Linked DNA regions of Stegostoma tigrinum. The protein of the gene in region 1 interacts with the protein of each later gene in a biochemical or structural test. Links are inferred from orthologs where the notes say so. Each region holds a gene or a part of one and is shown on either strand. Other genes may lie near its edges.

Region 1 (8,369 bases):
CATAGTTTTTGCTTCAGTCACTGAGTGAATTCCACTGCCTCTCAACTTGATGTGTAAAAAGGTTTCTCTTATGCTCTATTCAAAACCACTTGCATGGACTTTTGTATCTCTAAACCCTCCATCTTCTTTAGAAAAGATGTTCGTCTCTAGGCATCACAGCAAAGTCAGCATTTATTGCCCTAAGAAAGTGGCGGGTGGCTAGCTATTTGAACTACTGTCTGATTCTTTGCACCTGTCTTATACAACTGTGTGAATTGCTGATCTTGACTTAAGAGAGTAGTTAAGCATGGTGGTGTGGGATTAGGGTCACATAAATCAGTCTGGATAAGGCAGGCAGGAATCCATTCCAGAAGGATGTTAGCTTGGTTTTTTTTACAACTATTTGGAGTTTCATGGTCACTTTTGGTACCAGCTCTTTACTTCCAGACCCTTTAATATAAAACTTAAATTCTCAAACTCCCAAGGTAGAAGTTGAATTTAAAAATGTAAAGATCAAGATCTTTAGTTCATGGCAAACTCCACACCCACAGGTATCGAAAAGAGTCCTCAGCAGCTTGTTCTATTCTTTCGTAATTGTATGCACTACTATATCATCCTATAATTTGTGCTGCTCTAATGTAAATGATACAGTTATTCAGGTCTGTATTCACAGTTGTATTTGCTCATACCAGAAATAACCCTAGGGAATCTGAGTTTCACCCCCTAAAACTTTAATATTGTTTATATAGTGTGGAGTGTGCAATACTACCCACAATTCTGAATGTTTTATATAACTTTTCATTACCACATAGTATTTCAATTTTAAAATTTAATTTAAATATACCGCATGATCAAATCTATAATTCTCTTTGCCTTTTAAATTCCTTATTAATCTTGTTTATTTCTTTTAATAAACTGTAAGCTTATTGCCCAAATACTTCACTTCTTCCAGAACACTGAGCATACTGGATACAGTCACTGTTGATTTTAAAACAAAATGTATCACTTCACACATTGATGTTGAATTGCACTTACCATCATGTCTGCATGTAGCAATTTTCACATTTTGTATCTGAAGTCTAAATTAGGTTTTTGATTCCACATAACATGCATAAGCTTCTTATGGTATAAGCTGTGGTATCTCTACCCCCGGACTGGGAGGCCCCAGATCAGGTCCTCTCTGCTCCAGATGTGCGTAATAGCATCTCTGAACAGGTTGATTAGAAAAAGAGACTACGTTTAAAACAAAAAACATGCACAAAGTACTACTCGTGTCTAAAGGTTGTCTGAAAGTGTTTCACAGCCAATGAATTACTTTGATTGTGTTCACAGTTACATCAGCAAACACAGTAGTCAATTTGTACAAAATCAACAATACAAAAAGAGGAATTCGTCTATTATGGTGGGGTTGGTTAACGCATAAATTTTGGTCAGGACATCAGGCGAACCCTTTGGTAATAGTTTAAAATAGTGTATTGATCTGAAAAGGTAGACATCTGAAAGATGAAAAGCTCTGACAATGCTGCCCTCCCTCAGCATAATGCTGAAGTGCCTGCCTATTTAATTTGTTTAAATTCATGCATTGGGAATTGAGCCTGTGAGCTTCTCCTACAGTTAAGGCTGCTGCCATTTGGTTAAACTAGTCTAATAATCTGTTTTTAACAGTCTCTAATTTTGAATTACTTTTTCATTGAGTACTTTTACTGCGGCTAATAATTGCCCCTTCACTAATAGCAAGCTAAATGAACTTGTACAGAATATTAAAGTGTTTAACTGTAAAAGGTCAGATATTATCCTTTGAAATATATGATATAGGAAGACCAAAACCGAATTCCAAAGTGAGATTAATTGAAATTAAATGTGTTTACCTCGTGATGTATTTGTGCTAATATTAGCAATTTGGCTTAATATTAATTAATTGAAATTGAGAGCAAAGCAGACCGTTATTTAGCATACCACAAGTCTTGGACAAGAGGTTGACAGTAATGGAAATTTTAAGCCGCACATCATTTTCTTTATTTATCTCACTTGTCTATCCTAACACTTCCTAAACTCACTTTATTCCTCTGGCAATAATCTAAAGCTTCCTCCCTGTGTAGCTATTCACCACATCAGCTCCCCAGTGAGTCTACCTTTGTCTTTATCCTCCAACTCTGCTCATCAATTGAATGTCTAAACATGCTTCCACTTTACAACAGCCTGCAGAATATTTGCTCATTTGTGAACAAGACTCCCTGTTCATATCCTTATCCTGGAGGAGTAAATTAACATTCTGGGCTTGACTGAAATCTGGCACACTGCTGTTGATTTTTTCCTTTCATTCGAGAAAAACTCTCTTGGTTCACATTTCATAACATCCCATACTTAGAGGTGTTGTGAAATTTCACCTAGGACTATTGCACATTTCTCTGGCTCCTTCAAAATGTCTCAAAACCAAACGTTTTACCTCTCCTTTGCTATTTACTTCCTCTAGAAAAAAGCAATCTTCTCTCACCCCTGAGCTCATTCAAATTCTCATCTATTCTTAAAATCTACTATTAGTGATAACATTGACTTTTCTATTGACTTTCTCCACAGCTGTCTCACTTATAATCCTGACAACTTCATGTTGGACGGGTCTCTATAGCCACTTCTTGTAAAGTAAATTTTAGAAACTGCAAATTTGAAATGTTACTTAGCGTGCATTAGGAGATCATATTGATGGGATAGGGTGACTTTGTGCAGCATTTTCATCAATTTTTTATGTTAATATTTTGCTGAAAGTAAAGGCCATGTATTTAATAGCACTGGCGATTAGGCCAGCCTACACTCCCATTTGGATAATCCCTGTTTTTCAACATTTGTTGCCTTAGGAGTTTCTGCTAGCATTGAGCAATTGATGTGAACAAGTGGCAAATTTGCTCTGAAAATAAGGCTAGAATTTTAATTTCATTGTGGAGTAATTGTTGACATAAGGGGTAAAAAGTAGTATGTGTTGACTCAGCAATTTGCTGTACACTGCACTACCCTGCAGTTTTTATTTTGAATTATTGTTGAAAATCAATTTAGAGAAAAGCAGTCTTCAATGACATGGTTATATTTGTCAGGACACTAAACACAGCTTTCTCTATGTCTCTGTTTACAATGTGATGAATTGCTGGCATGGTAGGACAATGAATATGACATGTACAAAGGAAAAATATACATACAATATACAATCCGTCATTCTTTGTATGGAAAGGTCTGAATTTATTTAAGAGAAAAAAATAGAAGACCAGAAATGGCCAAGTTTAGTTGAGGTCGAAGGTCCCCAGGATGTTACTGAATAGTTGAGCAGGTTTAAGGAGCTATTTATCCAACTTGCGCTGAGACACCCAGATGGCATCATGATGAAGGAGCATCAGACATTATAACAGATGGAGGCTGCTAGGAGAAGGTTACCTCCCCACTTTCATAGCTGAGGAATGACTTTTACCAAAAGAATAAAAAGCATAAATAATTTACTGAAGCTATCCACTGACTTTCTCTATGCTACTTCTGCAAGATTCTTCTGTTCTTCTGAGTCTGGAACTCTGTGTCCCTTTTCCTGTCAATTCATTCTCATAGCTCTACACTCCTGCAATTCTCTTGCTAAATCCCTCCAATATCATTAAACATCTCCTCAATGTTAGAAGCCTACTCAAAATCTAGCTAGTTAATATGCACTTTGTTACCTTACCTGATGGTCTTCTCACTCAGCACTGACTGCCCTGCGTGACTATTTTAAATCCTCCATCTAAGTATAAATTGTCACTGTAAATACAAGTATTTGGTATATTTAACCGTTTCATGTATTCAGCTCAATTACTGAACTTGCTCAGCTTCCTGATGAAAGTCCTGATGAAAGATTCTGTGCATGTTGTCACTGTTCCCACATTCCAAGGCATAAGGCAAATCCAACTCTATAGTGACATCATTTATCATTGATTAGTTGATTTCAATTCCATCATTTCAGTATCTGAAGAATGATCATGCTGTGCACAATATTTTATCACAGCTATTGATAAATCCTTATGTTAATTCAACCCCTAACTCCATACCTATATAGCTATTTTGCAAAGATGTCAACATAGCAATAATTGTTTTAGCATTGCACTTACTTTCCTAATCTACGTCTAATCTTCAGTTTTACATGCAAGTTCTGTTGTCTCAAATTTGCCACCAGCAGCCTAATTCAAATTATCTTCCTGGTACATACACCTATCACCATTTTGAACAGGATCCCACTGATTCCATTGTTATCCAAACTAAACAAAGTCATTTCCAAGTGTCCAAATAAATTGAGAAAGTATTACTCACTTGGAAGTCTAGGTCCTGGTTTCCAAACAGCTGCTCTGTAATAAACCCTCTCAAGGCTGCAGTGTAAAGGCATCGTTATTTTCGTAAGAAAGTGTCAAAAATTGCATTTATTCTCAGCGTTTGAATAATGACGTAAAACAGTTTGCAGAACATTAGCCACAAATGCTGAAGGTTCTGCCTCGATAAATGTGAAGTTCGTTTACCAAGCATTAAGGTTAAAACATTGTGTCCCTCAAAATTTTACCTTCTCGTCATGGTTTCCTCTCCTAGCTTTCCACGCATTTCTCTTTTCCTTTGGTGGCAAGAACTGACAACACCGTCTCCCTCAAGAATGACTGCGTAAACGTGGCCTAGATTTTAAAGTGAGGATGTTGGTGGAAAATTGACACCTATTTGTCTCTGCTTTGTAGGTATTTTTAATCGCACCTTAAACTGAACTCGTGTAGATATTGTGCATATTGTGGAGACAATCCTTCCAATGCAGCCTTTCCAACGTCCTACTAATCAGGGCACTTCGAAACATTGACTTTCGTCTCGTCTAAAAGCTTTTAACCTTTCGTTAGTTATTCGCTGCTAGCTGGTACTGACCAAAACTAACTTTAAAACATCGTCGTCGTGCTCTGGTTCTATACCCCACCCAACACTACGAATTAACTTTGTAACTGCATTTTCTGCTATTCCTTTTTCTTTCAAACCTATTTTCCCTTGCTCACAGGAAATTTCTGTCGCTCCGGAAGAACTCGAATACAGATATGCGTATTCTGAATAAAATGCAATGCTTCCCAAGCCACCAGTTAACGTGCTGTGCACAACAAAGTTAAGAGAAACGCCACGGGGCTAGTTTAAAGAAAACCGTGAGAGAGGAAAATGCTACTTATTATGTATATACGGTGTTCACGCGCCGTATCGCCTTCGATATGCTGCTATTAGCCACTTCTGCAGGAAGGAAGTGGAATATCATAGAGATCGCATAAGTGAGGCTTTATGAACTCGGGTTAAAATACCACAATGACGTACGTACTTTCCAACAAATTGCAGAAACTGGGCGGCCACTTTATTAGTCGGATTAATTGATAGTTCCAGTTTGGTTTCTTAAAATGGGTCGAATATGAGGGGTTGTTCAAGCGCGTCCATCTCTGGCACCTCAATCCAATCCGTTTTAGATAAATTGAATTTATTGGTTCAAAAATTCTGTCAAGTTCTACCTACAGATGCAGAGGCATTAGATACAATTATTGTGGAGTATACGGACGCGATACTTGCATGGTGAGTCATTTTTAACTCGTGCTGCTATATGTGGTAAACCTGAGATTGCTGTATTGTGCAAATGGGAAAATTACTCAATAAAAATCGGCAATAGTTATTTCACCTACACATTGGCTTCTTATACGTGTAATCTCACGTGCTCCAGTTACCAAAACTCGAGGGCGCTAATGTCAGCCCGGAGTTTCAAAATTCACTTTATAATGAACATATCCACTGGATGTATTTATCGAAATTGGCGGTATTTTGAACATTGACTGACTTATTTTCCTGTGTATAATATTTAGCTGGTTTCATTCCTTGAAAGTTCATTGCCAGTATCGAGTTAGATTTAACTGCCAATGCTAATTTATGAATAATAGTTTTGGAGAAAGACAACTTGTGTTAAAATCGTGTGTAAAACACTCGCAACGTACGTGTTTTGATTCTCTTTGTATTGAAATCGTTGCTTCGATTTTGATTAAATCAGCCGGGAGAGTGATTGAAGATTAACGAGTACGTAAGACAAAACGGATGAGTGCGGTTCAGGCCAGTTGCATTTTTATGCTGAGGTGAGATGCCTGTTTTCTCACTGTAAACCTCGGCAAACCAATTTTCACACTCTATCTGGAAGTTCAAAAGAATTACCCGACATTTAGTGATCTGTGTGAAATGTTTGTGTAATTTGCAGTGCATCGTTAATGCATTTTAGAAACATTTTCATGACGCTTTTAGTGAAAATTGGTGATGGGGTCGTTTAGTACTTATTTGGGAGTTTGTGTTTTGCTGTGAAGTTGTAGGAATGCTGTTGTGTGCGATTTAATATCGTGCATGATTGTGGGGTCTCGACACGACGATACCGGAGTTCCTAGTTTTAATATCCCATTAAATAACTTACAACCGTTTCCTTATGGGAGGTTGACGGCAATATTTGTACACGAAAATTGCCAGTGATATTTCTGTGCAGTGAAACACCGACATAAAAATGGTGTCGCCAGTTTCATGGGTGTTATGGTTGATTAAAAAAATGCGACCATAGTGATATCAATTCTGTCGCATCGATTAGCCGTTTGTTATACAGACTGAAAATGCACACGATCCTTCACTGAATGTGGCCCTGTGTAATGCACAGTGCTTCTATAACAATGCTACTTTTCAGGTGAGTGTTTCTTAGCATTTTCCGTGTTTATTATAGCATTCCCGTGGGTTCATTCTGGCGGAATGTGAAAATCGCATGCCCGGCTGAAGCACCGCAAGGCCATGTGTTAAGTTCCCTTTCATATTCGGCGCGATGCCGAATTCGGCCACTGCAGCCTGAGGCTACGAGCCCTGCAGTGATTGACAGGTGCTCAGCCTCCTCGCCCAGCGGTTTGAATGGGGTCCATGCACTGGCTCGCAGCTTGTGGGCGCTGAAAGGGCGGGGCTTGCCTGGTGATTGACAATGGAGGAGGAGCCCGGGCGACGGCTGGTGGTGGGGGCGTGGCCTAGTACTGTGATTGACAATGCGAGTGTGGGCCGGTAGGGTAACTGACAGTGTAAGAGTATGCCCAGGGGTGTTGACTGGGAACGAGGGGGCCTGTGGAGTCATTAACACTAAAGAAATGGGCCTGTAGGGTGATTGATGGTGAAAGTGTAGGTCTACAAAGGGGATAGACAGTAAAAGTAGGCTAATGGGTGATTGACAGTGGAGCAGCAGGCCTATAGATTAATTGATTGATGGTGAGGCGGTGGGCATCTCTGCTCTCTGATGAAGGGTCTCGGCCCAAAACGTCAGCGTTTGTGCTCCTGAGATGCTGCTTGGCCTGCTGTGTTCATCCAGCTTCACACTTTATCAGTGGGCATGTAGGGTTGTTGACGGTGAAAAAGTGTGACTATGAAGTCATGAAGTGCTTTGAGAGGCTGGTCATGACCCACATCAACTCCAATCTCCTGACCTGCCTTGATTCTCTGTAGTTTGGCTACTGACATAACAGGCCCACAGAGGATGACATATCCCTAGCCCTGCACTCATCTTTGTTGTCTAAATGTGCCAGGGATATCTATGGCAAACTCTTTCTTGTGGACTATAGCTCCACCTTCAACACCATTATCCCCTCCAGATTTATTTCAAAACTTAGTGATCTTGATCTCGGTTCTGCCCTCTGTAACTGGATCCTCAGTTTTCTGAACCACAGGCCGCAATCAATGAGGATAGCTAACTGAACCTCCTCCTCAATAACACTCAACACTGGAGCCCCCGAAAGGATGCGTCCTCAGCCCCCGACTGTACAGCCTGTACATCTATGACTGTGTTGCCAAATCCTGAAAGAATGCCATCTACAAGTTTGCTGACATCACCATACTAGGATGGATAGCTAACAACGATTATTCAAAATACAGAAGGGAGATAAAAGGCTTGGTGATGTGCTGCAATGAAAACAATCTGTCTCTCAATGTCAGCAAAACTAAAGGTCCAATCATTAATGTCAGAAAGAAAGGAGGAGAATACGTCTCCATCTACATCAAGGGAACTGAGGTCCAGAGAGAGTGAAGAGCATTAAATTCCTCAGTGATGATAACGGACAACCTGTCCTGGACTTTCCACATAAGTGTGACAGTCAAAGAGGCAGAATAACGACTCCTTCCTCAGGTGGCTCGAAATTTGGCATGGCCACAACATCCCTCACCAACGTCTACAGGTGCACCATTGAAAGCATAATGTCTAGGTACATAACAGCCTGTTATGGCAACTGCTCTGCCCAGGACTGTAAGAAACCACAGAAGGTCGTGTGCAAAGCCCAGAACATCACAGAAGCCAATATTCCATCCATGGACTGTGGAAAGGCAGCCAT
Region 2 (7,362 bases), on another chromosome or scaffold:
TACTACTGCTTATTGTAAAAGCCCATTTGGTGCACTAATATCCTTTAGGACAGAATACTTCCCAATCCTGTCTGCTCTAGCCTTTGTGACTCCAGATCTATTGCACATAGTTGACCCTTAACTGCTCTGTTAAATAGCACAGCAAACAATTCAGTTTAAGGTCAATTAGGGATGAGCAAAAAACCCTAACCTTGCCACTAATGTCCACATACCATGTAAAAAAAACTAAAATACATGTTTCCTTAGTTTCATCCTTTTATGTAAAACACGGGTGCTGATGGCCTGCAGCAACTACTTTAAAAATGAATTTAAACCACAGTTTGCCCCAAAGGACTCCAGTTTTTATGGACAACAAAGCGTGGAGTTGGGTGAGCACAGCAGGCCAAGCAGCATCTTAGGAGCAGAAAAGCTGACGTTTTGGACTTCCCTCACATATACTCTCTCTCAGCCAGTCCCTACAATTACAATTAGCATTTTTGATTAAACTTAAATAATCAGGAAACAATAAAATTAATGATAATTCAAATTATGCTTTTAAATGGAGTTTTGTGATTCACTTTAAATCATTTGAAACTTAAGAGCAACGACACATGGTACAAGATTACTAAACAACAGTTATTCTTATAATGAGGATTATAAAAGTACAAGTCTTTCATTTACAAACATCTGATCCAAATATGGCCCAAACAATGTATGAAAGAAAAGCAATGTAATTGACAGAGTTTATTAACACGGTTTATTTAAAATAAACAAGATAGCAATACATGATGTTTACAAAACTATTTGAATGCTATGACTTCAACTTCCAGTTTCAAATAACATCACACTTTCTCAAATTCGGATTTTGAGTATTTTCTAACCCTCAGTTTACTTTGTCTTAACATAACAATAAGCACGGGTTAATCCACAGAAACTAAAGGATACATTTCAATCACAAGGGCTGCTATATGTCCAGGGTCCCACTCCAGTCACTGTACTGTCATTCTTCCCTTGTTCTCTAGCAGGGTGCAGATCAGCAGGCACCAGGAGCCAACTAGTATTGTACTCTGGTTACTGTTCACCACATGACAGACCAGATCAGAAATCAAGTAAAACATAAATTTGATACTGGGAAACATACAGCAGATTAACTACATTTGTATGTCAAAAGACAAACATGATGTTTGGGGTGTGTATCTTTCCTCATCTTGTTTTGTTTTCTGATGCTGACATGCACTGTTCTATGTGTGCTGATTTTTTTTTAAACAACTGCAGCATTTTGATTTTCCAGAACTCAAACTAAAGACTGCACTAGGACAATACCATTGTCCAATGAGATATTTGAGGAAGTATTATTAACATTTCTGACACTTGGAAGGACTTTGAATATAGAAGGGATATGACGACAATGAACAACGAATAAAATCTTAAACAAGAGGTAAAAAAAACATCATAAGTTTTAGAGATAATGGGAACTGCAGATGCTGGAGAATCCGAGATAACATGTAAGCTGGTGGGGGAGCGGTGCGGAGCTGGATGAACACAAGCAGCATCTTAGGAGCACAAAAGCTGATGTTTCAGGCCTAGCCCCTTCATCAGAAAAAAATTTTCATAAGTTTTCATGTATTAAAATACTCCTTTTTTTAAACCTGTTTATTTATACATTGCAAGCTCACACAAATGGGAGTAATCCAAGTGAACAAAGACATTCACGTTAGGGCAGACATTTGCCAGATAGGATAGATTTATTTTGGAAAAGCTTGAATACTGAACTGTATATTTTCTAAGAGGCTATCTGCCAAGAGTAAATTTGGTACATGTCTCAATGAAATACTATTCTTTTCTTCAATCATAAACAAAACAAACTATCATCATTATTGCAGACTTTATCCCAAAACACTGTGACAGAATATCCCACACAAGTCAGAGGCTTCAGTGTTTATGGTCATTGTTCATTCAAAAGATAATTCTATTTAAGTCACACAAGCTATACATAGGTCCTTCACAATGGCATAATATTCCAAGTAACACACCATGATGCAATATCTACTTTTGTCAGTAGAAATTTTGATTTTGCCCTCTAGGTTTTGAAAAAGAAAAGATGAATTGAAATAATTATGGCTACAAGTATGGATTTAAATCTAACATTCCCCACCCCACCCAAATAATCTGCCACTCTCCAACCAAAAGGCCAGATTCATAATCAGAGACCCTTGGAACAATTTCTGATCGCCAATGGGTTGTAAGAGAGTTGCTCAAAGCAAATGCTCTTCTGTGTGTTATTTTCTTGTCAGATATTTGTATGTACTCTCCCATAGATGAATTCCTGTACAATCTACTTTTCTAAAGCACTATAGAACAGAATGCTGGTGAATTATACCATGCATCCGTACCAAATGTTCTAACCACACATTGTACATTACTCTAATGTATCACACTGTCAATGTTGGAGAAAGGTTGCATATTTTAGTCATAGTCACAGAAAGCATCATTCATCATGGTGATCCTAGTCAAAGCCACAACAAACTTCCAATATTCCTTTTGTCAACAGACAACCTGGTCAAGTCTAACACAACTTACTCTCTAAGAAAAACTAGTAACTTCTCACCTGCGCCAACTATTTTGGCCAATACAATGGCACTTTTCATGACAAGACAGACACAAGTAGCATTTGCCCCATGTCAACATTACCCGAACATTTTGCAGTGGGTGAGACATCCGATCTGCAAGTTCAATAAAACATATTTACGACCACACGTCCTAATCTCCCTCACATACAGCACTGCCAATTTGAATTTAAATCAGCTGCTTCAGCTCCAAACTTAAACACAACAGAAACAAGATTAGAATGATTCGCATACAACACACCATATCGCGCGCAGTGAAAACTACAGATTTAACTAAAGAAAATCTGTCGCGAACCACACATACTGGGATCGCTTCATTAAAACAAAAATCAGGCAACAAATCAAACACAAATTAATTCCAAAGAAACTAAAAAAAACAAAGTTGCATCGAAAACTGGAAAACTCTTTGGAAGTAAAGACTTGGCTTCATTTTGCTCACTACCTCCGGAAACTAGGATTTCTTCAAGGGTCCCCTCCCCCGAACACCTATCGGACTCTCAGTACAGAAAATTCCCAATGTTGGAAGCTGTCCCAAATCCTTGCTCTCTTCCCACATTCCCATCAGGCCGGAGACAGGGCGGTTCGCTCCCTCCCACCGCTCCCCCACCAGCTCCATTCCTCTCCTCCCCAACCAGGCACCACTTCAACAATTCTCGACTACTCCTTCCCCCACCCCAGACAAAAAGAAAACACCTTCCAAAACGTACCCTAAAAGTAGAAACACGCACTCACCCCCAGTAGCGCCTCCTCCCCGAAGCGGTCTAAATCCTACACCCGCCACGATCAATGATCCTTTCGGGTAATATGTGTACAAATATCCAAATAGCAATCCACCCGCGCTACTAATCTCCGTCTGTCTCTCGCTGTCGCTCCCCTCACAGGCACGCGCCGGTTCACAGGCTCCCGCTGCGCGCGCTTCCAACCACCCCACCTCGCGCACGTTCCTCACGAGTGTCATCGAGCGCACGCACGTACACCATCCACCTTCTCCCCTCTACCTCGCCCCGCCCCAAACCCACAACCAAATATGCCGGAAATAGGCGTCGAAAGACTGTTAATTGGCGGGCAAGAGGAGCTGAGATGGAGTTAGCGCGTTGGGACGGTTTGGAGGGAAAGTAGTCGGAGAGGTCGGTTCGCACCCATCGTCACAGCCCGCCGACCGTTTTCTCGCCGGCGGTCACGTGATGAACGAGGCGGCTGGGATGATGGTGAGAAGAGATGTTGGGTGTGTGTCTGCGAGGGAGAAATGGACGGTCGGGAAGGAAGATAGAGTATTGAAGGATCATTGGGGTGGAAAGGTATGGTCTGGGAGTGGGGAGGAAGTTGGGGGCGGGGAATTTGGGAGACGGGATAAAGTAAGGCCAATAAGTCGTGTTGGGGAGGTAGCGCTGGTATGTGGGTGGGGCCTTGGGCCGTTTCGGAAGGCAACGTGTAGGGTCTTTGTGATGGTAGTGGGAAGGGAGAGTAGATTGGGGGAGGAGGTTGGGAAAAGGTACGGCCAGGGTGGGGAGGGATGGAAGTGTTGGGTCAGTGTGGGAGTAGAATGGAAATAAAAAAAAGTACCTGTTTTGGGGGTGTGGAGAGTAAAGAGAACTTGTGCAGTTGTGGTGAACAGATCTTGAGGTTGTGAATTGGCAAAAGAAAACTTGTTAGGTGAGCATGGAATAGAATCTGTTCAGGTGTGGTGTGGGGATTGACAAAGTGAACCCATCATGAGGCAGTGGAAGAGAAATCTGTGGAGTAAAAATTGTTTGGGGTTGGCGGGGGGGAAAGAGAACCTGCTGGGGTTGTGGGGTGGAGAAAATTAATCTGGTTGGAGAATGCAGGGGTTGGTGTTGGAGTAGACAGCTCAGAACGTGGGCTGGGGTATATTGGTGGGGAGGGTGAGAGATCATGGGTAGTTTGAGGTGAAGGGTTCAGGCAAGAGACCTTTTCTGAGATTCTTTCTCATGAAGGAGATTTCCCAGGCTCAAGTAACTAGAATCCCCATCCTTCAGTGGCCACAGAATGGGCTTTGCACATTTAATTGTTGGTTGCATCACTAGGCTGCCACAAACTCCAGAGCACAAGTTGATGTTGCCTCTTAATGGACTATTAATTATTCCTAATCTAAGTGTATGATGCAGCTCACTGTACATAACCAACTGTTCTACTAATGTGCCAAATGGTTCCTCTTCTAAGTGATCTTTATCTGCCATAAACTACTGTATCAATCTTCCACAAATTTTAATCTTGGTGCTGTCTTGCTTTTTCCTAGTGTGTGCCCCATCTTAGATTTTGTACGATTCTGGACTAAAGATTTTGGGGGTTTGAGTTGACAGGGCTGGGTGAAAGCCCCTTTTGTTGAGTTGGGATGAGGGTAATCAAGCTTTAGTTTTTGAACTGGGATTGAGGATGTCAGAGTTGAACATGGGAGAAGTTGGTGAAAAGGTGGCATTTCATCTAAAAGCCTTGAACACCTTACTGCTGACAAGGCTGTGTCTTAAAGATTTAAGAAGTTTTGCTTTTTAAAGAATTTTTTTATTTTAAAAATCTTGTTTTGTGGTCCCATTGAAGGTTACAACGTATAATTTGGGAAGTCAATACATTCTATGCATTCACTTAAGAAAACCATTGATTTTTTTTTAAATTGATTGCACTCACTCTGCCCCTCCAGTGAAAATTTCTTAATGGAACAAGACCTTATCAAGTACTGATTAAAAATACAACCATGGAAGAAGCAAAAAAAGCTTTATTTACAACCACTTGGTATTAAATAGCATTCACTGTCTGAAAAAAAAACACAAGCAGATTTAATAGAACTTTCCAAAGGGAATTGGATAAATGTGTCAAAAATACATTTTTGTTTACCAGGAATAGGGAAATGGACTGATTCCTTTTGGTGAGCTGGCAGAAATGATGAGCTGAATGGATTTCACCATATTGTATGATTATGAAGTGAATCATGAAAGCTATCCAAAAGGTGCTGGGAGAAGGCAGGTTGGACAAAGCTTCTGATGAATTTATATGGTGACACAACATGTTGGAGCATTAATAAACCCATGAGATCCAGATCCTGAAGGACTATTTCTTTATACAACAGATTTTCTATGTTATTCTCCAGGATTAGAAGTGACAAATAAAACACAGGCATGAAATCTCATGAGTCTATTCAAGTCTTAAAATTTCAGGACAGTTGGCTGAGTAACATCTGGTCTGGCAAATTAAAACATTTCATTCAGGAGATGTGGGCATTGGTGGCTAGGCCAGCATTTGTTGCCCATCCATAACTGCCCTGGAGAAGGGGTGGTATGGTCCTTGTTAAGTCACTACAGTCTTTGGGGTGCAGGCACACCAACAGTACTATTAGGAAGAAGATCAGTGACAAGAAGCAGCAGTATAGTTCCAAATCAGGATGGTGAATGACTTGGAAGGGAGCTTGGTGCAGAGGGTGGAGTTCATCTGTTTTGTCCTTTTAGGTGGTAGGTGTTTATAGGTTTGGAAAGTGTTATTGGGTTAGCTTTGGAAAGTTACTGGAGTGCATATTGTAGATGGTACATGGCTGCTACCATTGTGCATTGTTGGGAGTAAATGTTGAAGGTGGTGGATGCGGTACACTTCCAGTGAGTTGTTTTGTTCCAAGTAGGTGTTGAGCATTCTGCATATGGAAACTCTATTGGAACTGCAATCTAGATAAGCGGAGAGCATCCCATTACGATCCTGACTTGTATTTTTATTAATAATGAGGTTGGTTGACTCGCCGAGCTGGTTTGTTGTTTTTTATTTATTTATTTCCAGACGTTTTGTTACCATGCTTGGTAACATCCTCAGTGCAGCTTCCGATGAAGCATCGGTGTGTTTTCCAGCCTTGTTTTTAAACTCTGGGTCTGTTGAGATGGATTGCCTCACTTCTGGGTTTCCTTCATAGTGGAATGTATGTGGTGTTGAGCTCAATGTGTTTATTAATAGCGTTCGTTTGTGGAGTGCAATGCTTCCAGGAATTCTTGTGCTTGTCTCTGCCTAGCCTGTCCCAGGATCTTGGTGTTGTCCCAGTCAAAGTCATGGTTCTCCTTGTCCATGTGGATTGAGATGAGTGAGTATTGGTCGTGTCTTTTTGTAGCCACTTGGTGTTCATGTACTCTTGTTGTTAGTTTCCTTCCTGTTTGACGGATGTAGTGTGTCTTGCAGTCTCTGCAGGGATTTTGTAGATGACGTTCGTCTTGCCCATGGCGGGGAGTGGGTCTTCAGTTCGGGTGATCCGTTGTTGTAGGGTTGATGTGGGTTTGTGTGCCAATCTGATGCCCAGCGGTCATAGGAGTCTTGTGGTGAGTTCTGACGTGTTCCTGATGTAGGGTAGTGTGATGAGTGTGTTGGGGTATGGAGAATCTTTCTGCTGCTGTTCTTGAAGGCATCATCTGACCCAGTTCATTGGATATCTGTTACCCTTGAACACTTGGAGGAGGTATTCTTCTTCCTCTTGATAGTTCTGTGTTGCTGTAGTGTGTTGTTGTCCTTTTAAATAGTGTTCGCAAGCAGCTTTGTTTGTGTGTGCTGGGATGGTTACTACTGCAGTTCAGTACCTGGTCTTTGTGGCTTTATGGTGTACTTTCATTTGCAGTTCCCCATTTGTCTCATGCTCGACCATGACGCCCAGGAATGGGAGCTGTTTGTTCTTCTCCTCTTCTCTGGTGAATCTTATTCCAGTGAGGGTGTTGTTTATAAGTTTGTGTCTCTCTCTTAATTTGGTCCTTTCTTAATGGTGACAGAGATGTTGTCT

Evidence for each region.
Region 2: the proteins of bmp4 (region 1) and bmpr1aa form a complex in vitro, tested with the Homo sapiens proteins (3 studies listed by BioGRID and IntAct, with this or other methods). The link is inferred for Stegostoma tigrinum from reciprocal best matches to the Homo sapiens genes BMP4 and BMPR1A.

What each region holds. Positions count from the first base shown.
Region 1 is NC_081363.1:47,120,782-47,129,150, reverse strand, and holds the start of bmp4 (bone morphogenetic protein 4), read left to right. Parts: upstream 1-5,333; 5' UTR 5,334-5,562; intron 5,563-8,369.
Region 2 is NC_081390.1:5,616,643-5,624,004, reverse strand, and holds the start of bmpr1aa (bone morphogenetic protein receptor, type IAa), read right to left. Parts: upstream 3,499-7,362; 5' UTR 3,339-3,498; intron 1-3,338. UniProt on the Homo sapiens protein: On ligand binding, forms a receptor complex consisting of two type II and two type I transmembrane serine/threonine kinases.